Arabidopsis thaliana: one gene and its partners. The protein of the gene in region 3 interacts with the protein of the main gene of each other region in a pairwise test. Each region holds a gene or a part of one and is shown on either strand. Other genes may lie near its edges. The genes, in order: AT1G16000, CRK2 and TPI.

Region 1 (10,426 bases), on a different chromosome or scaffold from region 3:
TAGTTACATTTACCCGAATGTTAACTCTGCAGGAGCTGGTCTGATGCTGTCCGAGACCTTTACAGCAGAAAATACCAACCTTTCAGAATTAGGTTATAGCATGTGAGTTCCTTGAAACCGAAGAAACTGCAGGTTTTTTTATCGCCTGTCTAAATTGACTGTTGATGGTTTCAGGTATACTCAGATGGAAGATTGGTTAGGAAGACCGTTTAGGAGTGTTCCAAGGACTCCTCTGTTGCCACTTAGGGTATCGATTTCACGGAAAGTGAAAGAGGTTGTGGCTGCAAAGTATAGGAATGCTGGAGCAGTGACGGGGAAGTTTATAGTGATTCATGGTATTGAATCAGATTCTAAGGCATCAATGCAATCAAAAGGAGATGCTGATAGTTTACTTTCACTTGAAAAATGGGCTAAGATTATAAAGGGTGTAAGGTAATTATTACACACCTTCAAAATGTGAATTTTTTGCTTAGTTTGAAATTCTCTGAGATATGATTGTGAACAATGCCAGGGGATTCAAGCCGGTCTTTGTGATTCCACATGAGAAAGAAAGAGAAAACGTTGAAGATTTTGTGGGTGATGATACATCTATAGTGTTCATCACAACACCAGGACAGGTATGCATGCTTATCTGTCTGTATTTGTTATGAACAAAGTTGAATTCACTGATCTTACTTTGATTCCTTTTCTTGAGCTTACTTAGTTGGCTGCTCTGATAAACGATTCTGCTGGAGTCATCGCAACAAACACAGCTGCGATTCAACTAGCTAATGCGCGAGACAAACCATGGTGAATACCTGAGTAATATAAAGAGTACTGATTCAATGTTTTCAAGAACTAACATGTGTGTGCTTCTTTTTCTTCCAGTATTGGGTTGTTCTCTTCAGAAGAGAAAGGGAAGCTCTTTGTACCGTATGCAGAAGAGAAGAGTAACTGTGTAATTATTGCTTCGAAGACTGGAAAACTAGCAGATATCGACATTGGAACTGTTAAAAATGCAATGCAGGTCTTTGAAGGATCATTGGCTCTCGTGTAGATAACTTTACAGTTTCTGAAACAAGTTCTATATATAGAGCATTTATGTGTATAAATCAGTTATGTAGTCTCTGTTCTGATGTTGGCCTCTCATCAAGAATTGGATTATTCAGCATCAAAATCAGGTTCCGGAGGCTTTTGCAGATTTATCAAGGTCTTTGAACTCTCTGAGCTCCTAAGTCTGTGCCCTTTCAATGCATTAGCAGCAAATCTTGATGCAAATATCGTTGAACGCAGTCTAGAAGAAGACTCACTTCTTGTGATAACCATAGGCCTCTTGTCACTCTCATCATCATATTCATCTTCATAACCCAATTCTTCTTCTTTTTCTTCAATCCGTCTCAATTCAGCGTTTTTCCTTCTTGAATAGCGACGCCAAGCAGCTTGGATGAAGCAAGAAGCCCAAGTTCTCCATTGCTGAGAGTAAAACCTAAATGTTTGTTGAACCTGTCGACTATGAAGTCTCCTAAACTGACTTGCTACAAACTTCAGCTCTTCAGCTTCAAGAGCGAAAGCCTCTACTTCAGTCAGAGCCTTCACTGTTCTTGTGGAAGAAGGTAAGTTTGAGCCTGCTTTAGGGTCAAGAGCCCATGTCAGAAGCTCTTCACCACAAAAGTCTCCTTCTTTTAACAACCCTCTGTTGAAGAAACCGCTTCTTCCCCCATCTGTTGTTACACTTTCTAACCGGCCTCGGATTATGAACATCATTTCGTTAACGGGGTCTCCTTCACGCACAATGTAAGTGCTTTCCGTGAAAAGACTCGGCTTTAATCTCTCACAGATTGCGTCAAGTAATCTTTCATCCATATTAGCAAACAGAGGAACCTGTAGAAACAGAACACATAGTTAGTTAGTATCTCAAGCAATTTTAGCATTCTGATTGTGAAAACTTACCCTCCTAACTAAATTCAGACAGAGATGGCGTTTGATGTCTCTTCTGAGATCCTTAGGTAAACTCTGAACTATGTTTTCTTCGTCTACACCTCTTGTCTCTAACCATTTGTATTGATCATAGCGTCTGACTCTTTCCCTCAAATTTTGTGGAAGTGACCTGTGATGCATCCACTGTTCTGAGTCACGTCTTTTGATCCTCATTTCCTCGAGACGAACAGTAAGTGACTGAAGATAAGTCTGCATATTCCCGATGAGAAGCGCGAAAAGAAGAAGCCCAGCTATAGCAATCGCAATGGAAAACAAAACCTCTCCTGGAAATGTACTTGTCTGCAGCCCTTGACCTAACGTGCTGTTCATGAAAACACCAAAGATGTCAAGAGTACTCTGCACAAGCTATCGGTTGAACCAATGACAATGAGTTGCCCCCGCCTTACCTGAGATTTTGAAGACCCCACCATAGACAATAACAGAACTTGGAGAAAAATGTTGTTGATGATACAATGCCTGAAGATATAGCCTGACCGTATATCCCATAGTTAAACTTTGAATCATCTGCTTTAGCAGAACAATTGCTCTTAAGAAGCTCAGGGACTGTTTTGATCCATTCAGTTTCTCCACTGCTCACAAATTTAGTCCCACAATACAGAATCTGAACACAGAGTCGCGGATCTGGCTGAACTTTACACGCAAATCTCCAACAAGTATCGTTACGCTCCACTGACAACATGTACCAAAACGCTCCAGTTATCTGTCAAAATGTGTTTGTAAAGTCAGAAAGTGACCAATGATGAATAAATGTCTCAAAACACTAATTAAGAAGAGTCATATATACATAGAAACGCTTACGTGGCTTGCAAGCATATACCAGAGAAGATAATAAGCAGCACCAGCCCAAGCTCCTTCGGCAAAAGCTCCTGCAGTTTTCTTCAACTCTGATGTTAACGGAATAAACCTCACGAATCTCGGAATATACTGCACAATTACAATGTTCAACAATGCCGTTTTCGTTGGTAACACATCCGATCCTTTAGACCCGTGAAGAAACTTCCACACTGCAATCTGTAATATCCACACAAAACATCATAATCAATCCCAAAAGTCCAATATTTTTAGTAACCATCAAAGGATCTTTTCACTCTGTTTTACCTGCGGTAAAGGCAGCACTGCAAGAAAATCGACGACGAAATAACGGGTTAAATAGCGTTCAGCGATCTTTGCAGGATCAATCACAAGCTCACCACGACCAAACACACGAGAAGAAGGAGCTATATAAGCTGTACGAAACTGAAGAGCCATTCTAGTTAAGTAAAAAACGTCAACAATGGTTCTAAGAGTCGTCGTTGTAACAGCTAGTTTCGTATCAATCCCTATACAGCTGCTTCCGGAATTATCGACAATGGGAAGATAGAAGAACAAAGGATCAACAGAGACAGCTAAAATACACGAAATGACGAACAATCTGTTCCATACGAGAAGTGTTTTGTCTTGAGGATCAAAGATTTTCTTCTCTGTTATTCTTAAGTCTTCTGGAAAAACCGCTCTTGTAACGGATTTACCGATGGTTATTAGACCTTCTGATCTGATTTTTTTAACTCCTTCCCTGAAAGATTTGGATGCTTTCTTCTTTTCACCTCCTCGGTTCTTTAGGTTAAATCCGAAACAGTTTCTCTGCATCATCATTCCAGTCGCAGGAGAAGAACTTGAATCTATATCATCTAACCTGTAATTATAAGTTAAATGTCATTCATAGATCTGAAGAAAACAAAGAAAAATATTGCGATCTTTTGATTTTCTTACCTAACGAATTTTTCTCTTTGGCCGCTTATGTATTGGGATTTGTACATTATTCTGAGAAACAATCATAAGCTTCATGCAAAAATTAACCTAACAACATCACAACAGATCTCAATTATATGAAATAAAAACTGGAAAAGAGCTAATTAAGGATCGGCAACAAATACTTAAAGTGATTTGTAATAAATGTGGGAAAGTGTATGAATGATTAAGGAAAATCTAGGGCTTGAAGAAACTTGAGAATGAAGAAATTGAGGGTTCCTACTTAGTACCATAGATGACGGATGAATGATTGAATACTCCTTTAGATTGGACCGTTGTGAAAGTTGGTTACCATAATCATACACTAACTAACTTTTGATGCGGAGCGTATTTACCGCGTATTTTGACGAGGCGCGAAGAGTTATTATAGCTCTCTTCTCTTCTATCTAATTCACTCTCTTTATTGGCTTTCGATGAGTAGCGAATTTACCGCGTATTTTTTGGTGAAACTGTAATGTCAGAAAGTTATCACGCTTCTACACTAATATGTAACAAAATATGGGGTTTAAAATGTTATTCAATAAAAAGGAAATCTTATGTTGATGGGCCATAATAAGGCCCACTTATACATGGTACTAAAACCTCTGATGGATAAACCTTGTGTGCTGTTGATCGGAAAGGAAAAGTAAAAAAGAGAGATCTGAGAAATGGGAAATGAGACGAAGACCAACGGTGGTCCTGCAAGTATGGCCGGAGGCGGAGGATTCAGAGCTAAAATGGAACATTACGTTTACAGTGGTGAAAAGAAGCACGTCTTGGTCGGGATCGGAATCGTCACCATCATCTTCGGAGTTCCTTGGTATTTGATGACTCAAGGTCCGATCTCTCTCTCATCGTTTAATAATTGTATAACCAAATCCCTTCTTGGGGATTGAAAGGGTAATTGGTAGAAGATGAAATTGGAGGATTTTGATTGCAATTAGATTCTGATTTTGGTTTTCTTGCAAAATGAGAAACATGACATAGTGAGTAAATGGTTTCTCAGTATATATGGAAATGGATCACATTGTTTCATTCTAACATTCCCATAGGACCTGAATCTGTATATCTCTTACATCTGCTTTTGGTTACATCCTATAGTGTTGACTCTGTTTGGGCTAATTGGTTGAAGTTCTTTGGTTTCTTTTAGGGTCAAAGCATCAATCTCACCAAGATTACATGGACAAGGCCGATAAAGCTCGAAAAGCACGCCTCTCATCGTCTTCATCAGCTAACAAGTAGTCTGTCTGAAGGATTGAGTCATTTGCACACTGTTATCTCGTACTCATTTTCCCACACAAGTTAAAACTTAGTCAAAATCTGAGTCTTTTTTGTGATTTAGATTCAAAATCATTCTCATTTTCATGCACCATGTTTGGTTATCCGTTTTTTAATAAAAAGATCAAAGATTCTATCACATTTGGATTGACAATGCCTATGATAAAAATTCCCAAGATTCCATTGTGTAAAGGAAACAAATCATTAATATCTGTAAGCAACATAACAATATAAGTTGATGTCTACTTTCTGGGGAGCACATTCATGTCTCTCTTCTTATAGAGGCATGAGTCTTCTGTACTTGAAGAACCAGACGAATGCCGAAAATATCACAAAGCCACATACTCCAGTAATTATGAGTACCCATCTGAATGCACCTGGCTGATTGAAGAAGTCTATCTCAAAGTTCATCCCAAAGATCCCAGCAACGACCCCAAATATGGCTACAACAAACGTTGCAGTCGTCAGAAGCAACTCGAACTGGATCAGCTGATTCCGCACATTATCCTGCAGATATTGAAGAGGTTTTCAGCATGACTCTTGTGCATTCTCAATCTGGATTAATATCAGCTGTGGAAGATGGAATTTTGAGGTATTACCAGTTGAATGTTAATGAAATCTTCAGTGTCATCAATGTACTCCTTTAACTGTAAAGTAAAGAGAGGAACACAGATGATTAAAGCTGTCTAGCGAAGAAAGATCAAAAGTAAAAATGAGAGGAGCCATTAAAGTACCGATGTCAACTTGTTTAGAGTACTATCAATGACGACAAAGTAAGCTTCCAGCAACATCTCTAGCTCTTCTATATTCTCTGCACCTTCAGAACTCCTTGCACTGTCATGCCGACTCCTCGCAATGCTCAAGCTTTTATCAAGTCTTCGGGAATCAGGTGGAGAAGAAACAGGAGACACCGGTGCAGAAACAGATAGACCATCATTTGACCTGTAACCCAATAAGGACTGGTCACCGTACATAGATCCTTCCATTCTCCTCTTCTTCTCTGTTAGATACATTTCTGCCATATCTCCATCATCATCCATTAGCTGCTCGATCTCATCCCGAACCTTCTGAACTCTTCTTGTCAGTGCTACAAGCCTGCTCTTTAGTCTACGCACACGCTCCAAGTTTAGTGTACTGATCTTTGAGGTAAGCTCATCTAATAACGGGTATGCCTCAATCTCCAACTCTGAAGCCTATAGAGAAGGATAAAATTAAATCAACTTAGCGTGTAGTAGTCAAATCCAAGCCCAATATTAGTCTATATTTTCTGAGGGGGAAACAAAATCGAAGCTAAAGTGTTACTAACCTGGGAATCGAGAAACGTACAAGCAGCTTCAAGGGCTATTTCAAGAGCTCTAAACTCGAAAGGTAAATAATCAGGGGATGAATTCTCAAAAGCATTGTCAAAACTCCTGCTCCTCCTCCTACTCAACTGGGAATTTTCCTGCTGCCACATCTCACCTACACTACTAGTCTTTAGTCTCTGCTGCAACTCAACAACATAGCGCAGCACGTAGTTGTCAAGGGAATTCAGAAGCAGAACTTCGTCTGCAGTAATAATACAACGGATCTGCTCTAAGTTGACAACAATAGCCTTCTCTCGGCCTAGGATAGTAGAGGGATACACGAATAAGGGATCAAGCAGCCTTAAATCACGGGCGGGTAAGTCACACCTACGCATCATAGTGAACTTGTCAACCTCCATGACCTGAGTATTACCAGAAGTATCAACACGAATCCAAGAGCGTAGGCCTTGTCCACGCTTCTTCAGACCCAAGACATCAACTCCAAGAAGGGGTGGTCTTCCAGAAGCAGAAGGCCGAGTCACAGAAGCATCTCTGAGGTTCATAGCTGAAGCAGGTCTTGGAGGAAGCAGGCGCTCTTTTAGCTCAGACATTGTTGCAAAAATTCAGATACTGAAATGCCAAATAACTACAAATATCAAAATAAATGATGTAAACAATGATATGATTAATTAGGTAATCAAGAAGATTAAGTAGTTTCACAAACCACCAAAAAACCGGAAGAGAAAAATTGAAAACATAGGCTAAAGAACAAATACCAGTTAGGAAACCAAGGCTGATTTCGTCGTTCTAACTCTATCCACGACGACTGTAACAATAAAACGATGAACTAGAATCAGATTCCGATTAAAAATTCGAAAATTTTCGAAAATCAGAACCAAACGAACAACAAAAGCCATACCAGAGCTACAAACGCCGTAATATCCTACCAGCCACGGGATCAAAGAGCTGCAGATTTGGAAACAAAACGAACCAGGAATCATATCGATCGGTACGAAGCATAAAAACAAAAAAGAGAAAACCTAACAGAATTTTACCTCTAGCACGGAGATTGGTTTCATCACTCGAGTTAAACTGAATCTAATGAAACCGCGATAGAGAGATTCATAAGGCGGAAAAAGAAAAACCCTAACACAGATCGATCGGAGCTTCTCGGAACAAACACCGAATGGCTCGTCGGATATCGTTTTTTCCGATATGGCTGAAGAAGAAACAAACGAGCGATGGAGACAACAACAAACACGCAAAAGCTTTTTCTCTATTAGTTAGTCGCGCGACTAGTGTGAATACGAGCCATTGATGGGTTAACCGGAATGCTAACCGACCGACTATAGCTAATTTACCGGTTATCTCTAACTTCCCATTATATTATCAAATCTAAACTACTTAACTACTTAGATCTTTTAACGTTGTGTCATTATCACTATCTCCCATTATTTTTATTTATGGTTAATAATTAACCGAGTAATAAAGTAAGATACTAACTGAATGATTGAACAAATTATTTGAGATTCGCATTCACACAACGTATAATTCAGACGGATATGTCTGACTTAACCGGTGGAGCATCTAGAAATATTCGGTTTACCCGTTTCAGATATTGACCCGATTATTTGATAACCCGACCCGGTTTATTTCGTGGCGGTTAGCAGCTGTCCACCTGCTCCTCTTCCTTGATCCTTGTCACAAAATGTCGCGTAATTCTTCTACTGATTTCAGCTCAATCGCTCAAATTCGAGTTTGCGTTTAGAAATTGAAGTTGACTCTTCTGTTCTTGAATCTATCTCCGATCGGTGAACTATCTCGCAGTACCAGGAGATTGATCACTCCTTCGACATTGCTCTTTGAATTCGTCCTCAAGGTAGTCAATTTTCACTTAATTTTTTTTCCGTTTCCTAGCCTTCTACAGTAATTTTCTCTTCTCGATGTATGGGTTCTTCGGTCTTCTTATTAGGAACCTTACTTGGTATTTGTGTGCCGTGGTTGAATCACCAATGTGCTCTTGAAACCCTGAAATTACTTTGGATTTTGAAGTAGAGTACATCCACATTGGAAACAACAACCAATTGTAACATGCTTGATTCTGACGCGGTTCTTGCATTGTATTGTTAGGGTATTAATGAGCTCGTAGAAGCTACCAGAAATGGCGTCCATGAGCTCTGGTGATGAAAGCCTTCGACTTTGCATGTTTGATTTGAGGAGAGGTCAAACTGAAGGACAAGAGTTAGAGAAAATTTTGTTCTTTTATCCTGCCGATTTAGACTTCTCGACGCAGTTATCAGTGATCGGGCTCAGTGAAGGGCTTATTACTTTTACTAGGTCAGCTGCTATAGATTCTTCTTCTTTTTGAACACTGTGAGATGTGTTTTTACAATTGCTGGTGATCTAGATTTGGTTGCATTTGTGACTTGTTCGATAAATTAAGTCAGGGTCGTTAATCGATAGTCTGTGTAGATCTTCTTCATGTTTTGAGGCTTGGTGTGACTATTAATGCAGACTTTTCTCTCCGGAGGCGGCTTGTGAAGTGATCGAAGCAGAAAGACATTCCCATGTTTTCTATGAGGCTGAACCTGATATCTGGATGGTTATGGTAAGGCATTGTCTTACTTTTCTTTTGTTATAGCACAATGTTTTCTATGAATGATGCATCCTATGGTGTCTTAGCAATGTAAATAAACAAGATCTGATCTATACATTGGCAGGTTGTGGAGAAAAATAAGGAGACAGGAGCGATATGGAGGATCGATGCATTAAGGAGGGTGCTTAAAGAAGTGCACTCACTCTTTGTGATGTTTCACGGGTCAATTAGGGCATTAATCGAAAAAGAACCAACAGGAGGGCTTACCCGATCACTATTGTACCCGTTCATCACAGATTATTTAAGCAGTAAGTGACTATCACAAAATCTAGCATATATAACTTTCCACTGTTTTCCCTTTTTATTCTGTTTCCCGCTTCAATACATTTTATGTCAATAATTGTCAGCATTTCAAATATGGTCTCTCTCGGAAGACTGCTGCTGTGGTAAAATCCTGAAGTTGCTGTGTCGAATGCCTTCCTTTGGATTTGTGCAAAACCACCGCATATTTTGTTATCTTCATGGTAAAATACTCAAGTTCGTTCTTATGCAAAGGTTTTCTGTTCCTGGCAGAATTTTTTGTTGGGAAGAAACTTCAGCTACCAACTTTCCGTGAAACTTTGAGAGAGCGTGGAACTGTTCAAATGCTTACTTTAGCAAGGGATACTGCAGTTGAAGTTCAGGTTTGTGTCTCCAAACCTGTTGGATTATTATTACACATACTAATTTGGTATTTGACGAACAGTTTTTGGATGTACAGTCTCTTGTTCAAGTACTAGATTCATGTGCTGGGAGCTTACGATGTCACTCTATGATCTTATTTCAAGATCTTTTGGTTTCAACAACCCTCTCAGCTGATGATACCGTCGACTTGTTTACATTTGCGGTAATGAGGTTGACCTCAAAAGCTTTATCCTCTGATACGAGTTCTTGGTCATATCTACGTAAAGGGCCTGGTTCATCTGAAATCTCTTCTAGATCTAATCTGGCACCCGTTGGCTCAATTGATTCCCTACACTCAAGAAACGGTAATAACATGCATCATGTTATTAGGCCACTACAAAATGATAAGTGGACAAAAGGGAAAGATGGGTTTCTAATAACCGATATTTGGGGTCTTGAGACTGGCGGCTCCCCTGATTCTGCCATCCCTACAATTTGGCTTCAGCAGACACAAGAAAGAATGTATCTCCTTGCCTATCAGCATAAAAGTCTCACCTTACTTCTTCTGATGCCTACAAATGCCATTGTCAATGGAGATTTAAGCATCTCAGCCGTGAAACAGCAAGTTATTGAAGATGTTAGCACATCTCCCATCGATCTTTTTTGTTGAATCTCTTTTCTGGTGTCTTCTAATATATACCCAATATATCTTTTCCAGGCATCACTGAGAATTTTGAAAATTGAAGAGAATATTTCAAGAGGGTGGGGCGGTGAGAATGCTTACCATATTAAGGGTTACCGTTACTTAGTAGTTGATAATGACACGAAAGTATCCAGATCTTCTCCTTCAGGAAAAGTA
Region 2 (10,699 bases), on a different chromosome or scaffold from region 3:
TGTTTGATGTTTTTCAACGCCTTTTGTAGATTTTCGAGTGCACTATCATAGTTTGAGTAGCAAGTTTTGAGCCCTCCTCCACTTTTCCGGCTAATCTTGGCGGCTTCTTTGGCCTTGATCGTTCTTTTCATCAGCTCTCTTATGGAAACCTCCGTCGCTGCGTTAACATTCTTTTGGCCCTTAACCACTGATCTGCACAACACTTTGAAATCTGACACGGAGCATGGATCGCGTCCGCCTCCCATAACCCTCTGAGCCATTGCTACACCGCTTTGGCTCGCGGTCAGGAGGAGGAGGATCACCGCGGTGGCAAGGTGGAGATTTGTAGACATTTTTATGTAAAATTGCGTGGTATTTGAACACCGGTTGTTGATTATTTGAACAAATAGAGGGTGGTTGTTATTTATAATAATGCATACGCTAAAAGAAAAAATGGGTAATTTTAGTAAGTTCTTTTGAGGAAAAGAGTTTCAATAAATTGTCGCCGGTGAATAATTAGAGAGACATATCAAATTTAGTTCCTTGGTTAATTAGGCCTAATGATGGGTTATTTCCTTCTTATTTTTATTTTTGCTTTGTTCTGAAAAAACGCAATTATAAATTTCCATTTCATTTTGTGGTTTATGTTTTCTGACAATGCTTCGTAATGGCCCTGCCATGGCCGATGAATCAACTTACAAAATGGCCTTATTTTTATTCCCAATTCATACTAATTTGGGCTTTTATGTGTTGACAATGTTTTTAATTTAGACCATTTAAGAAAGATAGTGCAGAAGGATCTAGTGCAGCAATTGTCAAGTCCAGTTTCTTGTGGGCTGGACAAATAATGTTTTATTCTCTTTGTCCTGAACAAAAAAAAAAAGTTTTAAGTAATCTTCGTTAGTAGTTTTCGTTCTAACTCATGAGACTATGGAAATGAGTCTCGTTTGGGGTTATTGATGCTAACATATGAATTTATTGTTCTAGTTTGATGTATAAAGATTTTGACAAATTACACTCACGACGAGAGTGGCTTGATTATCGTTTCATTAAAAAATTATTTAATTCAAAAGAGTAATAGTGGTGGTTATGGGTGGAGAAGGTGCGATTAGTGGCCAGTGCTCACACAACTAAACATAAGTCAAAGCTTTCATCATTATATAATTGCCAACAAATTCTAATATCTTGAAAGTTGAAACTAATTAACTAACGTGTAGAACAAGCTCGAGATTATTCGTTTCGTCAATCCGAAGAAAAAAAATCTTAGAACGTCGCTTAATGGTAGACTCAAAATGCATCATTTCGTCAATAAACAACAAGAAGAAAAATACAACACAACATCGCTATCACTTCAGAACATGGTTTAGCTTGTACTGAAAAGATAAGAGTTTAATAATCTTAGAATGACATGACTTCGAAATAGATCTCAATCAATGTAAGGATTTTGTTTTTGCGATAAGATATTAATGCAATGATATAGTAATACAATAAGCATGGGTTGGATATTTCATATTTGGAGTTGACGCTGACTTTGATAGTCACGGGTTGGTCGCTTTGCTTCTAGACGTCGAGGACCCATCGGTTTCTATTATTTTCGTTTTTCTAAATAAAATTCGCCGAAAATTATCTGGTACCAATAATTTCACAAATTTATGTAAATTTTTAAGACAATTATTTTCTAAGATCTATCTGCCTGATTGAAAAATAACGAAACAAAACACTGTTTCATTAGTTCACAAAAACGTAATTTTCAAAAAGTGATGGTTGATTAGTTTGACAGGAATAAAACTGTCATTTTCAGAATGTACAAGTAAGTCAAAATATGCGGCAAATTCAGATAAAATGGCTGATAAAAGTAAGATTGTCGATGGATAATTGTGGTGGAGAAAGAATAAAAAGAATAATTGAAGACTTTGAAGTTGCTTTGATTTAGAGACGACCTTCACAATACGGCAGACGAGAACTTACGCCATTATCCATTACGTTGCCTTGTTTTCTCAAACTATTCCTACAAAAAAACGTAAAAGAGGAAATATCCGGAAAATTACTCCGAACTTTAGAAGATTCTTGCATTGATCAAAATCTGTTTTTAATTTCATATCACTCATGAATTTGTTTGTGTTGGACTATTCAGAGTTTCAGACAGTGCAAATTAGTAAAATATTCTTACTATTACGACGTAAGAAGAAAAAGACAAAGAGGCTGGCCGACGATGGCTAGATATAATGAACTTTAGAGGTTATATGTTTATCGTTTACTGGTTTTGATCAGTTCAAACACTCGAACCGAATGGTTAATCGATAAATATACAAGTTTATTATGAACTGAACGGTTAACGGTTACTAAAATAGACTTTACCGTTAGTGACTTAGCTCAATTCCCTAAATCGAAATTCGGAAAATCTCGGTCTGGTTCGACATTCTCTATTCTGTTTAAAGTTCCATGCCTAGTAAATACGAATTGCAAATTGGCAACTACCCAACGATTGTATAACTTATATAACCGTAACAGAAATCCTTGTTTTTTCTATGTTCCGCATTGTGGGTGACAAAACAGAACATACAAAAAAGTGACAAAAGCAATGACGTCATGATGCCCCGTGCATTAAAACAGAACATAACTCCCACACGGCGTCGTTTTCTGCTTTCAATACCCCAATGCGATCGGTATCTTTCGTTGAATCGTAAGAAGACAAAAGTCCACTCTTTGACTTCTCTTACAATTGGAAAAACTCTCAAACTGGAAAATTTTCCAAGTTTTCTTCTTTTGTTGACCCAACAACCAAAATCTAAGAATTTCAATTTCAACTTCCCGATCGTGTCTCCTTCTTGATTCTCAATCACCCAATCCATTTCAAGAGAGAAGAAAAAGAAAACAGAGCAAAGATCAAAAACCTTACACAAATGCTTTCTTGTTCAATTTCAAAAGCTTAACCACTAAACCCAGATGCCGATTCTGACTCTTCTTCTTCTTATTCTGGGTTTGTTTATAAGCCCTTCTGTTTCAGACTCGAGAGGAGACACAGTGGCTCAGATATGCAACAACAGAACAACGACGCCGCAACAGAGAAGTCTCTTCGTCACCAATTTCCTCGCCGCCATGGACGCGGTCTCTCCACTAGTGGAAGCTAAAGGTTACGGACAAGTGGTCAACGGTACCGGAAACTTAACCGTCTACGCTTACGGAGAGTGTATAAAAGATCTTGATAAGAAAGATTGCGACTTGTGTTTCGCTCAGATCAAAGCTAAAGTTCCTCGTTGCTTACCTTTCCAAAAAGGTACTCGTGGTGGTCAAGTCTTCTCAGATGGTTGCTACATCAGGTTTGTTTCTCTCTCACACTCATTTCAATCCGATAAAAATCTTAACTTTATGGTTTGATTGATTCTTGCATTTGGTTATAATCGATTGTTGTATCTTTGTTTTAGGTACGATGACTACAATTTCTATAACGAGACGTTAAGCTTGCAAGACCGGACAGTTTGTGCTCCAAAGGAGATTACCGGAGTAAACCGGACGGTATTTCGGGATAACGCTGCAGAGTTGGTTAAGAACATGAGTGTGGAGGCGGTGAGAAATGGTGGATTCTATGCTGGTTTTGTGGATAGACATAACGTGACGGTTCATGGTCTGGCTCAGTGTTGGGAGACTCTTAATAGAAGTGGTTGTGTTGAGTGTTTGAGTAAAGCTTCAGTGAGGATTGGTTCTTGTTTGGTTAATGAAGAAGGTCGAGTTCTTAGTGCTGGTTGCTATATGAGGTTTTCTACTCAAAAGTTTTATAACAATTCTGGAAATTCTACATCAGATGGTAATGGTGGTAAGTAGAATAAGCTTGAAATATGATTTAAATTTAGTATATGTTTGTAACATTTATTTAGCAACATTCTTGTTGATCAGGTCATAACCATTTGGGTGTGATTTTGGCGGTGACATCTTCGGTTGTGGCTTTTGTTCTGTTGGTCTCTGCCGCTGGTTTCTTGCTTAAAAAGAGACACGCCAAGAAGCAAAGAGGTTTGTTCCATAAAGAATTAGTTAAGATTTATGTTCCAGAAATAGCTTAGTTTTCAAGATTAGTCATAGAGTTTGAGTGGTTATAATAGTGAAGTCTTGATCTTAACAGATATTTGTGTGTGTGTGTGTGTAATGTAATGTAGAGAAGAAGCAACTAGGGTCATTATTCATGCTTGCGAACAAATCTAATCTCTGTTTCTCCTATGAGAATCTCGAGAGGGCTACCGATTACTTCAGCGACAAAAATAAGTTAGGACAAGGAGGATCTGGCTCTGTCTATAAGGTAAGTTCTGTTCTTATTATACATTTTCTAGAGTTTCATGTTGGAATGTTCCTACTTCTCAATTGGTTAACTCTTTGCCCTTTTTGTGGAGTAGGGAGTTCTTACTAATGGTAAGACTGTTGCAGTAAAGAGACTGTTCTTCAACACAAAGCAATGGGTGGATCATTTCTTCAACGAAGTTAATCTAATAAGCCAAGTAGACCACAAGAACCTTGTTAAGCTCTTGGGATGCAGCATAACTGGACCAGAGAGCCTTCTGGTCTATGAATACATTGCAAATCAAAGCCTCCACGACTATCTTTTCGGTTTGTTTTTGTCAATCCTAAACCTTTTACTACAGTTACCATGTCTTGATGGATCTTTTATTGACTTGTTCTTGTTGCTTTGTTTTGGTTCAGTAAGAAAAGATGTTCAACCGTTGAATTGGGCAAAGAGATTCAAGATTATACTTGGTACAGCAGAAGGAATGGCGTATCTTCACGAGGAGTCAAATCTTAGAATCATACATAGAGATATTAAGCTGAGTAATATCCTTTTGGAAGATGATTTTACTCCAAGAATTGCTGATTTTGGATTGGCTAGATTGTTCCCAGAGGACAAGACTCATATCAGCACTGCCATCGCCGGTACACTGTAAAGTCTCAAAACTTATCTTTGTAACTTTAATATCTCTCTCTACCGTTTCTTGTGTTGTTTCTGAAGATTCTTACTTGTGGAAACAGAGGCTACATGGCACCAGAATATGTAGTACGAGGAAAACTAACTGAGAAAGCAGACGTTTATAGTTTTGGAGTTCTTATGATTGAAGTTATAACCGGAAAACGTAACAATGCCTTCGTACAAGACGCTGGTTCGATCCTACAATCGGTAAACTAACTCTCTACAAGTAGTTCAAACATTTTCTTGATTTTAGATCAAATCCTTTTTCTTGAATCTTGAAAACATATTTTAGGTATGGAGTCTGTACAGAACAAGCAATGTGGAAGAGGCAGTGGATCCAATCTTAGGTGATAACTTCAACAAGATAGAAGCGTCACGGCTACTTCAAATTGGGCTTCTCTGTGTTCAAGCAGCGTTTGATCAGCGGCCTGCGATGTCTGTGGTTGTGAAAATGATGAAAGGGAGTTTGGAGATTCATACGCCGACGCAACCACCGTTTCTGAATCCAGGAAGTGTAGTAGAGATGAGAAAGATGATGATGACTCCCACGACGAATCAGTCTAATTCTTCAGGATCAAGGAGTGACTACATAACCGAGGGTTCGAGTTTCTTTGAACCTAGATGAGGTTTTAGATCGTGTTAGATATATCAGTATCCTTTCGTGTGGATTCTGAATCATCTTGTGTCATATGTACAAAAATTGAGATGCCAATTAATCGTGTGTTAGCTAGGAACTGAGGGTTACTTATGTGCCACGACAATGTCATAGAAGCTAGGAAGTGAACAATGTAGAGCTTACATGACGGGGACAGATTCCGGTTTAGCCTCGGTTTTGATTGTAGTGATTCGGTTTACGGTTCAGTAGTTTTATTTTGTGTGTTAATTTTGAGTAGCTTTGTATATTAGTAAGCGGTTTTTGTGTTTGTTCTCGTTTTAACTTTACAAAAAGAGAAAGAGTAAATGTCATATTTAAATAGAAAAATGCAACCACAAATGCAAAGAAATTCGAGTAAAACCAAATAATGCCATAAGGATATTTACCTAAGAATCAAAATATGAAACATATTAAATGTACACAAGAAAAAAATCAAATCACTAAAAATTCACTAAATTTATTACCGCAAAGTTTGGATCATGATCTCCTAATTTTTGCACAAGTGGATTCGAATCAAGGACTTTTTATCAGTGTTTTTGTTTTCTTTCAAGGAAGCCATAGGAGACTACTAGATAGAAACACATATACTACATATGTCTTTATTATAGCCAACTAGATTTAACATTTTTAGAATTGAATGTCCAACTACTTCTCATTTTTCTTTGCAATTGATCTTGAATAAAACTTTGACCATGGCAACATGTAAATGGTATTTTGTTATATATATTTTTATTATTTGTACAACTTTTATTGTACTATACCAACTAGGCCTACTAAATCAACCCAACAAATTGACAAAAAAAAAATCAACCCAACAAACCTATTTCTTTATTTAAAGTAGTCTAACGTCACTTTATCCATTTTCTTGAATGTCATCTTACTAAACACTACGCATATGTGACGTTTTCTTTTTTCTTTAACTAATCAGAAAATTGAATTTTTCATGATACCGGTAAAGAGATTTATCCAATTAAACCGAACCGGCTCCACATAAGATAAGCTCTATTAATTATTAGTCCACTGGTTTTTAGGTTTATGAAAACGACAAATATTTGAATGAAGACAACGACTTCAACAACATGATCGAGCTGGTTTGGTTTCCAAGTGTGAATTCAAGACTAAGAAGAAATCCAACAATCTCCATTATCAATTTTTTTTATTAACTTTTTGACTAAACCAGTAGAGAGAGAGAGAGAAAGACAGCAAATTTGGTTGACTCTAACAAACCAATATCATCAAAGTCAAGCAGTTGAAAATTCTTCAATTTCATCATCTCCAATTCTTAATCTCTCTGCTTCTTCTTTCTTCACAACTTGAAACAGAACACAAAACCCTTGATGAGGGAATAAAAAAAGGAGATCTCTTTCTCAATCAAACAAAACAAAATGAAGAAAGAACCTGTCCATATCCTTCCTCTGTACCTTCCATGTCTCTTGATGTTTCTTCTTTCATCACTCCGTCAAATCACCGGAGACGCAAGGGCTAGAGCCGTTAAAGTCACTTGCTCACCTTTGCTTGAGCACAACGAAACCGCTTATGTCCCAAATTTCGTAGCCACAATGGAGAAAATCAGCACACAAGTACAAACTTCCGGTTTTGGAGTTGCTCTCACCGGTACAGGACCAGACGCTAACTATGGTCTTGCGCAGTGCTATGGTGATCTTCCTTTAAACGATTGTGTACTCTGTTACGCGGAAGCAAGGACGATGCTTCCGCAGTGTTATCCTCAGAACGGAGGTAGAATCTTTCTTGATGGATGTTTTATGAGAGCTGAGAATTATAGTTTCTATAATGAATACAAAGGACCTGAAGATAGCATCGTATGTGGAAACACGACGAGAAAGAATAAGACTTTTGGTGATGCGGTGAGACAAGGGCTGAGAAATGCTGTTACTGAGGCTTCTGGGACTGGAGGGTACGCTCGTGCGTCTGCAAAGGCGGGTGAATCTGAATCTGAATCAGCGTTTGTGTTGGCGAATTGTTGGAGAACTTTGAGTCCTGATTCTTGTAAACAGTGTTTGGAGAATGCCTCTGCTTCTGTGGTTAAAGGATGTTTGCCATGGTCAGAAGGACGTGCGCTTCACACTGGATGTTTCCTTCGGTACTCTGATCAAGATTTCTTGAATAAGATACCAAGAAACGGAAGATCAAGAGGTAACACAATAAAAAGATTCATGCTTTCTATAGAATCTCATTCGCTTGATGGTCATAAGTAATTGTTTTTGCAGGCTCTGTGGTAGTGATTGTGGTGTCAGTACTTAGCTCTGTGGTTGTCTTCATGATTGGAGTAGCAGTAAGTGTTTATATCTGCAAACGTCGGACCATAAAGAGGAAGAGAAGAGGTAAGATTAGTTTCTTGATTTGTGATGAATTGGTTTAAGAAGGATTGAGTGTTTTTAACCGAGATCTTTGGTGCTTAACAGGATCAAAAGATGTTGAGAAAATGGCGAAAACACTAAAAGACAGTAGCTTGAATTTCAAATACTCAACACTAGAGAAAGCCACAGGTTCTTTTGACAACGCGAACAAGCTTGGACAAGGCGGATTTGGAACTGTCTATAAGGTATGTGTGTGTATGATCATGTCTCTCTTTCTATACCTTCCTGTAAAGCAAATGAGTGATATAGTGGTATCTCTCTGGCTTGTTTAGGGGGTTCTTCCAGACGGAAGAGATATCGCTGTGAAGCGGTTATTCTTTAACAACAGACATAGAGCAACCGATTTCTACAATGAAGTCAACATGATCAGCACTGTTGAACATAAGAACCTTGTTAGGCTGCTTGGTTGCAGCTGCTCAGGACCAGAGAGTCTCCTTGTCTATGAATACCTTCAGAACAAGAGCCTTGATCGATTCATCTTTGGTAACTACTACTAATAATACTATATGATGAGTTTTTATTGTTGAATCTTGAATGCAGCAGCACACTAAACCTGTCTTCATTATTACTTTTGCAGACGTGAACAGAGGGAAAACATTAGACTGGCAGAGAAGATACACGATCATCGTTGGAACCGCTGAAGGATTGGTGTATCTGCATGAGCAGTCGTCTGTGAAAATTATTCACAGAGACATAAAAGCAAGTAATATTCTGCTAGATTCAAAGCTTCAAGCTAAAATCGCCGATTTTGGTCTGGCGAGATCATTCCAGGACGATAAGAGCCATATTAGCACTGCCATTGCAGGGACCTTGTAAGTATATATTCAGAAAAATGTACCATTTCTTCAAAAAGATATGAATGTTTGAGCTGATCCAATACTTGTGAAACTGCAGAGGTTATATGGCTCCGGAGTACTTAGCACATGGTCAGCTAACAGAGATGGTAGACGTTTACAGCTTTGGAGTTCTTGTACTAGAGATTGTAACTGGAAAACAGAACACCAAAAGCAAAATGTCAGATTACTCAGACAGTTTGATCACAGAGGTAAGTTAGACATATTTTGTCTATGGGTCTGCAGGTTTCACTTCTCAAACTAATTGTGGTGTTATGTTTTTTATTGAAGGCATGGAAGCATTTTCAGTCAGGAGAGTTGGAGAAAATATATGATCCAAACCTCGATTGGAAGAGTCAGTATGACAGTCACATCATCAAGAAAGAGATAGCAAGAGTTGTTCAAATAGGGCTATTGTGCACTCAAGAGATCCCTTCGCTAAGACCACCGATGTCTAAGTTATTACATATGCTAAAGAACAAAGAGGAGGTCTTGCCATTGCCGAGTAATCCTCCGTTTATGGATGAAAGAGTCATGGAACTTCGAGATGGTTCTGATGGTGATTCAGCTGGTTGTGCATCTCTTGCCACTGTCTCACAAAGTTCCTTTTATGGTAGATGAGCTTTGAAGAAGTGTATAAGAAGAAGAGAATACAAAATCTTTGATCTTTGAGCAGAAACTAAAATTTTGTGTATAAACCAGTGAGAGAAGCTAGATAGTATAGGTAAGTTATATCTTATGTATCATACTTGATAACAAAAAAAAAGTACTCAATAATTCAAGCTCTAGGTGCGATTTCTTCAACCAACCCATAGCTTCAAACATTTATCTTTAATAGTTTGCAAGCTTATAAACGGACTTGCGAGTTTGCAAGAGAGAAGACAACAGAAACAAAGAATGAAATGTCTGAGAATTTCCCAACATATGCCATCTTCAAAAAAATGTTATCCTCATCCACACCAGACTTGCAAACATATAAGATTGGTGGTTCAATGCAGCAGTTTAAGGTAGGTACTCGAGCTCAAGCTTTGTTGTTGTTTGTGCTCCTGCTTTCTTGTTGTGATCTCAGAACCAGGCTGCTTCTATCTGGACACATAGATCAGAACTTAGAAACTATGTGCTCCTGCTTTCTTGTACGGGATCTCAGAACCAGGCGGGCTTCTCTCTGGACAAATAGAGCAGCATTGGTAGGTTGATGTCAACGTGTGTTGTATTTGTCAAGTCCTCAGAAACTGGCTTCTGCTCCACAAACCAAGACTACCTGTAGCAACCACCACAACATATGTTAGGAACAGACAAATTTTTGTATACAAAGAAACCATTTAGAATAAAAGTAGCAATGGAGTTGAAATTATTCAACTTCTTAAATTGATCATCATTCATGTTCTCTCTTACCTTTTGATATATAATATTTTGTGAGCGAAAAAGATGATTCTTTGTAAACGTTATATCGAAAAAAAGTTTCAACCAAAACGTAACTTCCTTTTTGGTTAGATTGATATAATTATTCGTAACTGGAAATCGAATCTAATTTAGATTTCCTCTACAATATCAAATCCCCAACGGTTAGATTAACAATAAACCAAAAAAAAACCATCCTTATAAATACACACACTTAGATCACGCATTCTCTTCTTCTTCATTCATGAGAAATCAAAATACGCTCTATTCTCACGTCCTTCTTCTTCGAGAAACCAAAATCATTCATCGTTCCCATCTTTTCATACCTGTTCGCTTGATGATGATCCATGTAATCCTCGAGTTCATCATCTCAGAATCGTAATTGATTCTCTCACGTCCTCTCTTTCTTGACCTAATTGAGAAGGAAGAGATCGGGGGCAGTGAAAGCGAGGAGCACCTAAGAAGACGATTCCAGGACCTAATCTAGAAGGAAGAGATCGGG
Region 3 (10,699 bases):
AAAGTTGTGGTCTTCGTGTTCGAAACAGAGGCGATGAAATCATCCGTTGTGGCGGCGGAAGGAGGAATCTGGCCATCGGAGATTCCATTGGGAGATGTGAACAAGAAGATGATCAGAAAGTTAAAGAACTGGGAGATGGCAAGGTTTAAGTTCAGAAAAGGTTGTATCACGTTTTACGTTTACGCCGTGAGAAACGCCGGAAATGAAGGGTTTGCGGCGGCGGAGGACTTAAAGGTAATATTACAAGCGGTGGTGGCATTGAAAGATTTCATGGATCACACCGCAATGCTTGTAATGCCCCACCAGAAAAGTATTAATTACAGCTCTTGTCCTCCTTTTGCCATGGCTCACTGAACTTTGAACAATATTATACAAGTGGGCCCTCTTCTCTTTTTTCTTTTCTTTTTACTCCTTTTTTTTGTTGATATAGAAAAAAAAGTTCGGATTATTATTTATTTTTGGTTCCATAATGGGGTTGTTTGTTATTAATTTCCTGTATTTTTTTCTTTGATTTGGGTGGAAGATTGTTGGTATGAATAAGATTAAAACTGTTGAGTTGGGTTGGTTTTGTTCGTGCATTTCATCCATAGTGATCAGAAGCTGAATCTCACTTAGAATTCTTAGGTAAATCTTAAAAAATGTGGAAGAATTGGAAGATTGGAGAAATATATGTATGAAAAATATTTACATTTCATTAGTTAGTCAATTTTTTCATATAAATTAAATTTCTTGTTTTTTCTAATTTCACATGTTTTTTTTATCAATAAGATTTTTCTTCAGATCCTATAAATCATCATTTTAGTATATGTTATGATTTTCAGAGCTTAGTTTTAAGTGTCATTATACATATATGACGCATCAACCGAATAAAGTTAGAAGAAGCGAGTGTTAAGGGTAGTATGTTATCCTATATTTTCTATGTAGTTGTGATGTCTCTGCACATTACAATCTAGTATTGGTGTATTGATCTCAGGTCACAACCGCACACTTACATTACATGTCTACTTCTACATGGTCTCACCCAAATATGATTTGAATGAGACTAGAATTTACTACAGTATTTCATATATTAACAATTCTGTAACATTGTCATGTCAAGATATGTTAACAATGTAAAGTCATAGTTTTACAACATGTCATAGTTGTCCAATGATACTACTACTACACATTGTCATATTTCTTAGTCTTTTAAACCTTTGTCGGGTCAAAGTATGATTGGTCGAGGAATCGGCATTTAGAAATCTTCAACTGATGCTAATCTCATGGCCTAGAAAGACATAATTATCTTGTAGATAAGGTTATGTTTCTAAACGCTTATATTGCTTTATAGGTTGATGGACCATCTATATCCAACATAAAGATCACAAGTCACACAAATCAATGTTTTTAAGCGTAACGCTGAAGCAAATTTTATGGAAGTTCCACTTTATTTAAATAAAAGGAATCAGCGAAAAAATAATTAACAAAAAAATCTTAAAATTAGGATAATCCGAAATTAAACACAAAGCTGATGATCTCTCAAATCCAAAGTTCCTCAGAACCATTATGTTAGGATTTTCCAGACAAATACTACTACATAGACAATCTCCTTAGTACTTACATGCACCATTGCTTGGGTTGTTCCCTACGATCATACCAGTTCCACTGAAGTTACAAGCACCATCAGTGCGGCCGTGGCTCTGGAAATAAGCATTCATAACAAAAGATGCGTGCGTCCTCAAACTGCTCGGGTTAAAGCACGAACCACCAGCTTGGATCGGTTTACAGTCAACACCCTGACCACACACCCAATTAATACTGTCTTGCAGCTGAGTATTCGTCGCCCCGGACCTCGCTACACACCATTTACCGCCGGCAGTACTAGGTGCGGGCAATGCTGGGCGGCCTCCACCGCCTTGTCCGTTTCGGAGAAGACCAACATCGTAAACCGGGGAGAAATCTGCTCGGAAAAGTCCCCAGTTACGCTCTGCGGTCGGACCGGGTTTGCCTTCTTCGTTGAAGAGACCGAAAATGTATGTCTCGAACCGTCTGTTAGGCATGAGAGGTGTCCCTTGGCCTTGTGCACGTTTGATAATGTTGAGGTTGAACCAAGCAGCATTCGCAGGCGAGCACCAAGGTGCGTCACAAGCAGATGGCCAGCCAGTCTCGCCAACGACAATGTTAACATCACCGTATCCAAGAGCTTTCATGGCTGAGTATGTCGAGTCCATGAGTGCATCAAACATGTTGGTGTAGACGTGGCGGGTGAACGGGTCACGGACTGCCTTGTACGGTGTTCGGAAAATTGCGAAGTTGACGTTTTTGGGGTCAAAACCAAAGTAAGGGTACGGGTTAACCATGAAAGGTGACTTGGTTCGGCGATGGTAAGCTAGGATTGGAGCCAATATGCCTTTGTCCCAACCCGGCCTGAATCTACCGCTGCTTGGTGCACCGGTCAGGTCATAGGCTATGATGTTAAGTGAGTGTGCGGTTGTAACCTGAGATCAATTGCAACAAATAGTAGTATTAGAATCAATTGTTACCTACCAATCTCCAACAATTTTCATATGATAATCATGTTGGTCTAAATTTCCTATGAAATTGGTACATTATCTCATTTACCTAGGATCACATATATCATGATGTAATAAAGGAAACATAAGGCATGGCAGACAGATGAACGAATCTAAGGACAATAGGATAACCTTGGACGGTGATGAGATAAGCACGTGGGATAGTCTAAATGGTCAGATCTTAATCCAATCGCTAACATTTTCAAGTTTCAAATCTTTGAATTTTGCTTTGGGAATTTATTTTTTTCCTCTTTTTAAGAAACTAACAATATACAAGTTGGATGAAAAAAAGAAAGAAGCAAACGCAACATTCTACGTTTGCGTGAAATTTTGGATTTCAAGTTAGATAACAGACGAAAAAATAGAGATTGAATCTAATTTTTCAAAATAATCAATTTTTGTTTTGCATATTTTTTTCAACGTTGTTTTTCAACTTTATACATATGCGCAATCAATGCATTATCTCTGATATAAAAAAGGGAAAGAAAAAAAAACAGTGCATTTTTCACGCCAATCATCAATTCACTATTAATAATTACAATTTCTTTTAGTTAAAGAAAATTAAAACTAGGTAAAAAAGTTAAGTAAACAAAAAAAAAAAAAACTTTCCCACTAGCAAATATCAAATTCAAAGTTGAGATTTCAAAATTTTTTATCTGAAATTTATACAATAATGAACATCAAACTTAACTTTAATTTTATTTACCAAAACCAAACAAATATTCTACTTATTCCTTAAAATAGAAAAATCTGAAAAATAGAGAGAAAGCTGACCTTAACATCTCTGACACCAGCACGAACCAAAGCGTTGTTAAGATTCCTCATCGCCGGTAAGAGATTATTGATCATGTTATTATCTCCGGTGAGCAGAATCTCATTTCCGACTGAGATATACTTAATCTTCGTCTGAGGATGAAACGGCAAAATGTTAACCGAAACCCACCGACGAGCTTGTCTTCCGTTAGCCAACGCCGGAATATCACCGTTAGGAACGGTGACAACGACGGAGATACCAGTTCCAGCGAAGGCACGTAGGATATCGGGATTCACATCGAAGATCTTGACGCTATCAATCGAAGTTTGTGTCTTGATAAAGTTAGCCACCTGAGTCGGTGGTGGGAGGTTTCCGAGAGTTCCGTAGTTAACACCGATGGCGGAGATCACGGCGGGGATGGTGAGGAATACGGCGGCGCAGAGGAGGAGGAGAAGAGAGATTGACGGTGGCGCTTTGGCCATCTTTTTATATTTCGGAAATGAGAAAACCAAACGATTCCAAGTGAAACCCGTGAATCGTTTGAGTTGTGTTTTTATTATTACGACGAATAGATTTTTTTATTCTTATCGAGAAAGTATTTATAATAAAAATTAATAGATATGACCGTTTTGTATAGCGTATACGTGTGTATATTTTTAGTGAGGAACAGCTGGATTTTGTGGAAAGCAAAATAAAAGAAGAAGTTTGTGTTGTCTTTGTTTTTCATGTGCGTCGGCTTAAATTTAGGCCGTTGTAAATTATTGAAAAAGTGGATTTTGTTGTGACCGTGGAAACTTTAGTTAATTAATTTGGCTAATTATAGAGTCTGCTTTTGTTTGGATAATCAATTTGTCATCTTTTTCTTTAATGGTTTTTGGCTGGTAAATACTCATACTATCCAAGTTTAATCTAAAAATATACCTCTTTCTTGTTAATCGTAATTTTACAATCCTAATTTTATCCAGATACGGATGAACTATATTTGAAAAAAAGGAACTAAAGTGAAGTTAAGAAAACAAAAGAGAGATCGAGTGTTGTTTTTTCTTGGATACGTTTATTAAAAGATGTTCTTAATGAGGTCAAAGGAGACTATCTGAGTTTTTACTGCTAAACTTAAAACTAAAAAAAAAATCGATTAGTAATATTGATGTATCAACGAAATGTATATGGTTAAATATTAAGTGAAAAGAAAAAGAAGAGAGATCGACGCGGTTTGGGATAATGCCATTGGCCCATTGGACACGTGTTTGTAGGAGGAATAGTTTGGAGTTTGAACACTACGGACCAAAGTCAAAGAGATTCGAAGTATGAAGATGTTGTTGAGGAAGCTGATTCGAAGTAACTTTTACCGACACGCTTTAGCCATTTGTTATGCTTTCTTTGGGAAAAGAAGATCCGCGTCCATGTCTCATTGTTAACAGTTTATTGTCATTTTCAATGACATGGTTACACTCATTGCACACACACACAAACCACGTAATTTTGTATTTTTTTAATTAAATCCCATCCTTATTTTTTGCAATAACAAATTACCATTGTTACTTTTTAATGATATCACATAAAATAATCGATGCCACTCGATAGCCCTTTAGACTAACAATATGTTTGTTGAAGTATGCCACAATGTTTGAAGTGAGCCGGCTCAATGCTCTCATGGTGGTTTAGTAGTTTAACTTGAGAACTTACAACAGTTTTCTCCTTCTCCACACTATTTGTATCCAAGAAGGGGCATTACAATATAGAATTGCATAATACGATTTAAACTTTTACCAAAAAAAAAAAAGAAAAAAAAAGAAAGAATTGCGTAATACAGAATTTATCTTTAAGGGAATACAAATATAATTTGGTTTCAGAATCATCTCAATAGGCTTTCCTTTAACCAAACTTGGGTTTTATTGATGTGCTTGCTTTAATGGGCCTAAAGCCCATACAACAGCATCACTATCCACGCCGTTGTCTATTCTTATTATTCACCCCACCCGGTACACCGACCAAACCTTGGCCAACACGTCCATAATATTTCATCCTCCCTCCTAATTTACTTTAATATCCTCAACTTTCCTAATCGTTCAGGGAATATTCTCATATACCCTAGACATATGCGTCTTTTCCAATCTAAAATGTTGAGAGTATATTTTTATTTATATATATATGAGTGACCCCTGCGAGAGACAACGGCCACTGAACACTATCGATCTAATCTTTTCAGCTCTCTCCATCGTCGTCGTATCTGTGACTCTCGTGATCATCGCCTGAAAAAAATTTGAGATAATGGCCAGAAAGTTCTTCGTCGGAGGCAACTGGAAATGTGTAAGTGATCTTTACCTTCTATTGCGCACCTTATTATTAGTCTTGTCACTTGATCCTTCCCCGATCAAGTCAAAGAGATCGGAAAATCCCGATCTTAAGATCTAAGGTTTTTTTCATTATTTGTAGCGGTGGAATTTGAATTGTAATGCATATGGTTCAGATTTGTCGATTCTATGCCGGATCTTAGTTGTTTTTTTTTGTCAAAATTTTGAGTAGGAATTTTTCTTCAATTGATATCTCGTGTTCTAGCTTTGGTGGATCCGTGTGTTAATTTTGTTGGTTAAACTATTTTAACATGTTAATATTTGAATTTGTAATCTTATATAGAACGGAACTGCTGAGGAGGTGAAGAAGATTGTGAACACTCTTAATGAAGCTCAGGTTCCTTCACAGGATGTTGTAGGTATGTGTAGCATCTCAATTGCTTTGACGACATTATGGCTTTTTTTTTAATTTCCATGTCTATGAAATCTTAAGTAGTGACAAATATTTTGGGCATACAATTACAAACCTGTTTCAATGTACATCGATGTTCTATAGTGTTTATGCTTCTTAGGAACCATGGATAGATCTAGTGTTTGTTGTTAGTTAAAATGTTCTTTATCATATACTTGTTATGGTTCTATCTTTGTTGATAGTTATAAGTATGTTTGTTCTTGTATTAATAATTTGATGAAATTTTACTAAATGCAGAGGTTGTGGTTAGCCCTCCATATGTTTTTCTTCCCCTGGTTAAGAGCACATTGAGGTCTGACTTTTTTGTTGCGGCACAAAACTGTTGGGTTAAGAAAGGAGGTGCTTTCACTGGTGAAGTGAGGTGAGATTCTAACCATTGGTGTATACTTTAAGCTGTTTTACCATTATTGCTTCATGCAGTAAATATTTATGGTTTTGAAAATGAATATGATTGTGTTTATAAACGAATCGATTTTTCCATCTGTTCTTCTTCTTTATCTTCTTTCCTATAAGAATTGTGTAACCTAAGTGATTAAGAAAACAACTAGTAGTTGGTAGTAAGACCATGATTGGATTCGTGCCTGGTTAGACAAGTAGGTGTAATATGATTTACCTGTCTATGGAATGCTTTCATAGGAAGAAAAGATATATTCTGTGGTGCCTGTATTTCCTGCTCTTATGCATTGTGTAATTTGTGTGTTTTAGTGCGGAGATGCTTGTGAACTTGGATATTCCATGGGTTATCCTTGGTCACTCTGAAAGGAGGGCAATCCTTAATGAATCAAGCGAGGTTGGTGACTTTACATGATAAAATAATTTTCTGGAGACTCAAATAGCTTTTAAATTCATGATTTTGGTTTTTGACCTCTATCCTACATTTGTAGTTCGTCGGAGACAAGGTTGCCTATGCACTTGCTCAAGGTTTGAAAGTGATTGCTTGTGTTGGTGAGACTCTTGAGGAGCGGGAAGCTGGATCGACCATGGATGTTGTGGCTGCCCAGACCAAGGCTATTGCCGGTATGTATATTGTCAAACATTTAATCTCTTTTTGCTATCTCAGTTCGTTCTCGTTTACAGTGAGACCTGTTTTGATGATAGTGATGCCCGTTTCTACGCACTATACTCCCTTAGTGTGTGATTCAAACCCCACAGAAATATTTGTTGGCTAAAAAACTCTTTTTGTTGGTAATGGCAGATCGGGTGACAAACTGGTCAAATGTTGTCATAGCCTATGAACCAGTGTGGGCCATTGGAACCGGAAAGGTCGCTAGCCCAGCCCAAGCTCAAGAAGTAAGTGGTTCTCGATGCGCAGTTGCACTGTAACGTGTTGCATATGGTCATGATTTAATAGGAAAACCAATGCTGTTTTCCTTACGAGAGCTTGTTTCGTTTATGAACAGGTACACGATGAGCTGAGGAAATGGCTGGCCAAGAACGTGAGTGCTGATGTCGCTGCTACAACCCGCATCATTTATGGAGGTAGATAGATGATAACACGATCTTTAATTAAACACCCCTATATAGTTTTCTATGTTACTTAGCTTGATTATGCAAATTATTATCAGGATCCGTCAATGGTGGTAACTGCAAGGAGCTAGGTGGACAGGCCGATGTTGATGGTTTCTTGGTCGGTGGTGCTTCTCTAAAGGTACATATAATATGGTTTCTCTTGTAATGATATCTTTCGTTTGTCTCTTTCAAAACCATGACTAATGTTTTCATTCTTGGTCTTTTTGCAGCCTGAGTTTATCGACATCATTAAGGCCGCAGAGGTGAAGAAAAGTGCCTAATGAGCTCATTAAGCAATTTAAAAGTCCTTTGCTTTTCCAGTCGCAACTCTGAAAAAATGAATAAGTTGGTATTATGATATGATACATTTTGCTTCAGTTGTATTTGGCAAAAGTTTCTCTCTTACTATATTGTTTTGAGAACGCAACAATCATTTTCTTCGCCATTTATTTAGCTGTGGACTTGCAATTTGCAAATCCCTTCCTTTTACAGTCTTCTCAACTCTTCAGAGAATCTGTGTTTGGAGTTCATAACCCCTCGGGCCTTTTGATCAAACCCCTATTTCTAATGTCGTCCGATCATAAACCTGTGTGTTATATAATATGTTGTTTGTTCCATTTTAGACTTTGGTATTTTGTCATGCTTGATCTCTGAATCATGCTGTCAACCACTTTGAAAATGGCTTTACTTGTTAAATAAATGACGAGAGAATACAGGAGAAGTGGGAAATGACTTTATTTTTTCCCTTTTATCGCTTTTTGCCTATTGGTCTGTCATTTTTGACATTTTAGCTTTTAGAACATTATTATTTTCAACTTTATTGTCATCATCTTGAAAAATGTCCAACATTACGAAATTATTATGTAGAGAGTAAAAAAGGAAAAGAAATTTCATGGAGAAACTCATTGTATTAGGAATGTCAATGTTTGTAGAAAACAAAATGCTTATGTAATTTGAGTAAAACGGCTCAGTGGAACTAAAGTGATAATGTAAAAGAGACGGTTAAGTCCAAAATAAGAGCTCCCGTATGTCAGAATTGTTCAAACCATTTATTAAAAAATTGGACTCAGTATGATGAAAATGTGTATGGATTTTGATCCGACCACGAAAATCCAACTAGTGCCAATAAAAACTCCACAATATGTGACTCAGCTACAAATGTGATAACGTATTATCTCCCAAGTCAACCCACATTTCTGGTGACTTATATTTTATTTATTTCTGAGTAATATTTAAGAAAGTAGGGATTGAATTTTTATGAGTATTATATTATATAGTTGACCTTGGACTTATTTGCGTAACGAGCAAACAATTGTGACCTTAGAAATGGAGGTTTGACTAAGTCATCGATCATTTCAGCAATAGAGTAATTTTGGGTCCGTATGACTCAAAACAAGTTTTGGTAAAAAATTTCTCTGTTTTAAAAACTTGTATTTATAAAACTTATGTCCCATCCCATGATACTAAATTTAATTACATTATACGTATGTAGTCAAGCATAATTTTTTCCTGAAAAATCTTATTTTTCTTACCTACTTGTAAACTTTAATTTAATTCCTGGTTAAGTAGATATTTTTCTTAGTTCTTACAAATCTTATATTTTCTTACCTACTTTTATAAACATTTTTGAGACCACTATTACTAAACCCGAATCTGTTTCATCATTCCACACCCAAAGCATATAAATCGAAAATATCTATGATCACATGAATATCTATCATTTTCGACAAAATTTGTCCTTTTTTTTCTTTCTTTTTGTATCCAACCCCACCACGGCGAATTTATTTCAGGCCTATTAAAGATTCCAAAATCTCATGACCATCTGACTCAGATGTCATATCTATTAAAAACGTTATTTTGAATCTTAAACATATATCATTAGTGATCTTTTTGCACGTTTACTCAGATGCTTAAGATCATCAAAATCAATCTATGAATTTCAAAAGTTTTAAAAATCATACAATAGAAAAGTCCCACTGATCATTAAATTGTTATTACTAATTTTATTTAGAACTCGTTTATTATCTTTTGGTCAAAAATATAACTTTTGTCTGAATTCGTTTTTTTTTTGTTTGGACAAGAAAAAGACCTTTCTTCTTCCTTCGGTTGCCTCTACCATCTCATCAACACACATCTTCTCTTTCTCTTCTCTCATCCTCTCTCTTCTTCAGTGTTTACTTTTTCTCTTTCTCTTTTTTTTTTCTCTTTATTATTTCGCTTTAATGAGTTTTATCTGATAGAATCTGCTCCACCCAAAAACAGCATAAGAAGAAATTCATTGTCAGAGAAAAGTGCAAAAAAAAAAAACGATCTTCTTCATCATTCTACTAAATGGGTTCTTGTCTCAGTTCTCGTGTCCTTAGTACGTTCTCTACAATTCTCCATCTCCCATTTTTTTTTTTTTTTTTTTGTGATTCACACATGTGTATCTCTTCAAATCCGTGATCTTTTTGGTTAATCGATAATGGCTTTTAAGAAAAGGAATGAAATTTGCAAGAATCTTCTTCCTGTGATCTAACTGAATAAAGTTTTCCCCTTTTTTGGCGTTCTCTCAATTTTGACTGTGGTCAACGCTTTTGTGTGTTGTGCAGATAAGAGCAGTAGTGGTCTCGATGATCTTCATCTCTCGAGCTGTAAATCTTCATCATCAGCTACAGCTCATAAGACAGAAGGAGAAATCCTTAGCTCAACGACCGTCAAAAGCTTTAGCTTTAATGAACTTAAACTCGCTACTAGAAACTTCAGATCGGACTCTGTTGTTGGAGAAGGTGGCTTTGGTTGTGTCTTTAGAGGTTGGCTTGATGAGACTACTCTTACTCCTACCAAATCTAGCTCTGGTCTTGTTATTGCTGTTAAACGACTTAACCCTGATGGTTTTCAAGGTCACCGAGAATGGCTGGTACAACACTTGTTTCTTATCTTTGATTTATAACACTCTTTTGTTTTTGTGTGTGTAGGTTCTGATATTGATCTTTTTTTTTGTGGTTTCAGACAGAGATTAACTATTTGGGGCAGTTAAGTCACCCGAATTTGGTTAAATTGATTGGTTATTGCTTGGAAGATGAACAACGGCTTCTTGTGTATGAGTTTATGCACAAGGGTAGTCTTGAGAATCATC

Evidence for each region.
Region 1: the proteins of TPI (region 3) and AT1G16000 interact in a protein complementation assay, tested with the Arabidopsis thaliana proteins (one large-scale study listed by BioGRID).
Region 2: the proteins of TPI (region 3) and CRK2 interact in a protein complementation assay, tested with the Arabidopsis thaliana proteins (one large-scale study listed by BioGRID).

The regions. Positions count from the first base shown.
Region 1 is NC_003070.9:5,490,164-5,500,589, forward strand, and holds AT1G16000 (GAG1At protein), read left to right. Parts: upstream 1-4,369; 5' UTR 4,370-4,412; coding exon 4,413-4,581; intron 4,582-4,894; coding exon 4,895-4,986; 3' UTR 4,987-5,196; downstream 5,197-10,426. Other genes in the region: PnsB1 (NDH-dependent cyclic electron flow 1), read left to right, coding at 1-102, 175-432, 512-617, 704-789, 868-1,036; CNGC7 (cyclic nucleotide gated channel 7), read right to left, coding at 1,141-1,860, 1,930-2,278, 2,364-2,677, 2,776-2,988, 3,076-3,649, 3,727-3,773; MGT2 (magnesium transporter 2), read right to left, coding at 5,299-5,529, 5,622-5,669, 5,757-6,215, 6,329-6,919; AT1G16020 (vacuolar fusion protein (DUF1712)), read left to right, coding at 8,470-8,645, 8,823-8,916, 9,029-9,212, 9,312-9,350, 9,478-9,587, 9,665-10,204, 10,286-10,426.
Region 2 is NC_003070.9:26,583,606-26,594,304, reverse strand, and holds CRK2 (cysteine-rich RLK (RECEPTOR-like protein kinase) 2), read left to right. Parts: upstream 1-6,676; 5' UTR 6,677-6,970; coding exon 6,971-7,739; intron 7,740-7,813; coding exon 7,814-7,927; intron 7,928-8,008; coding exon 8,009-8,148; intron 8,149-8,235; coding exon 8,236-8,446; intron 8,447-8,540; coding exon 8,541-8,775; intron 8,776-8,857; coding exon 8,858-9,008; intron 9,009-9,087; coding exon 9,088-9,417; 3' UTR 9,418-9,576; downstream 9,577-10,699. Other genes in the region: EDA24 (Plant invertase/pectin methylesterase inhibitor superfamily protein), read right to left, coding at 1-332; CRK3 (cysteine-rich RLK (RECEPTOR-like protein kinase) 3), read left to right, coding at 2,926-3,299, 3,405-3,793, 3,874-3,987, 4,131-4,270, 4,365-4,575, 4,669-4,903, 4,993-5,137, 5,223-5,555.
Region 3 is NC_003074.8:20,548,217-20,558,915, forward strand, and holds TPI (triosephosphate isomerase), read left to right. Parts: upstream 1-5,186; 5' UTR 5,187-5,577; coding exon 5,578-5,616; intron 5,617-5,943; coding exon 5,944-6,019; intron 6,020-6,309; coding exon 6,310-6,433; intron 6,434-6,777; coding exon 6,778-6,862; intron 6,863-6,956; coding exon 6,957-7,089; intron 7,090-7,267; coding exon 7,268-7,362; intron 7,363-7,472; coding exon 7,473-7,551; intron 7,552-7,637; coding exon 7,638-7,720; intron 7,721-7,811; coding exon 7,812-7,862; 3' UTR 7,863-8,344; downstream 8,345-10,699. Other genes in the region: AT3G55420 (uncharacterized protein), read left to right, coding at 1-354; AT3G55430 (O-Glycosyl hydrolases family 17 protein), read right to left, coding at 1,590-2,477, 3,327-3,788; PBL1 (PBS1-like 1), read left to right, coding at 9,913-9,991, 10,110-10,480, 10,573-10,699.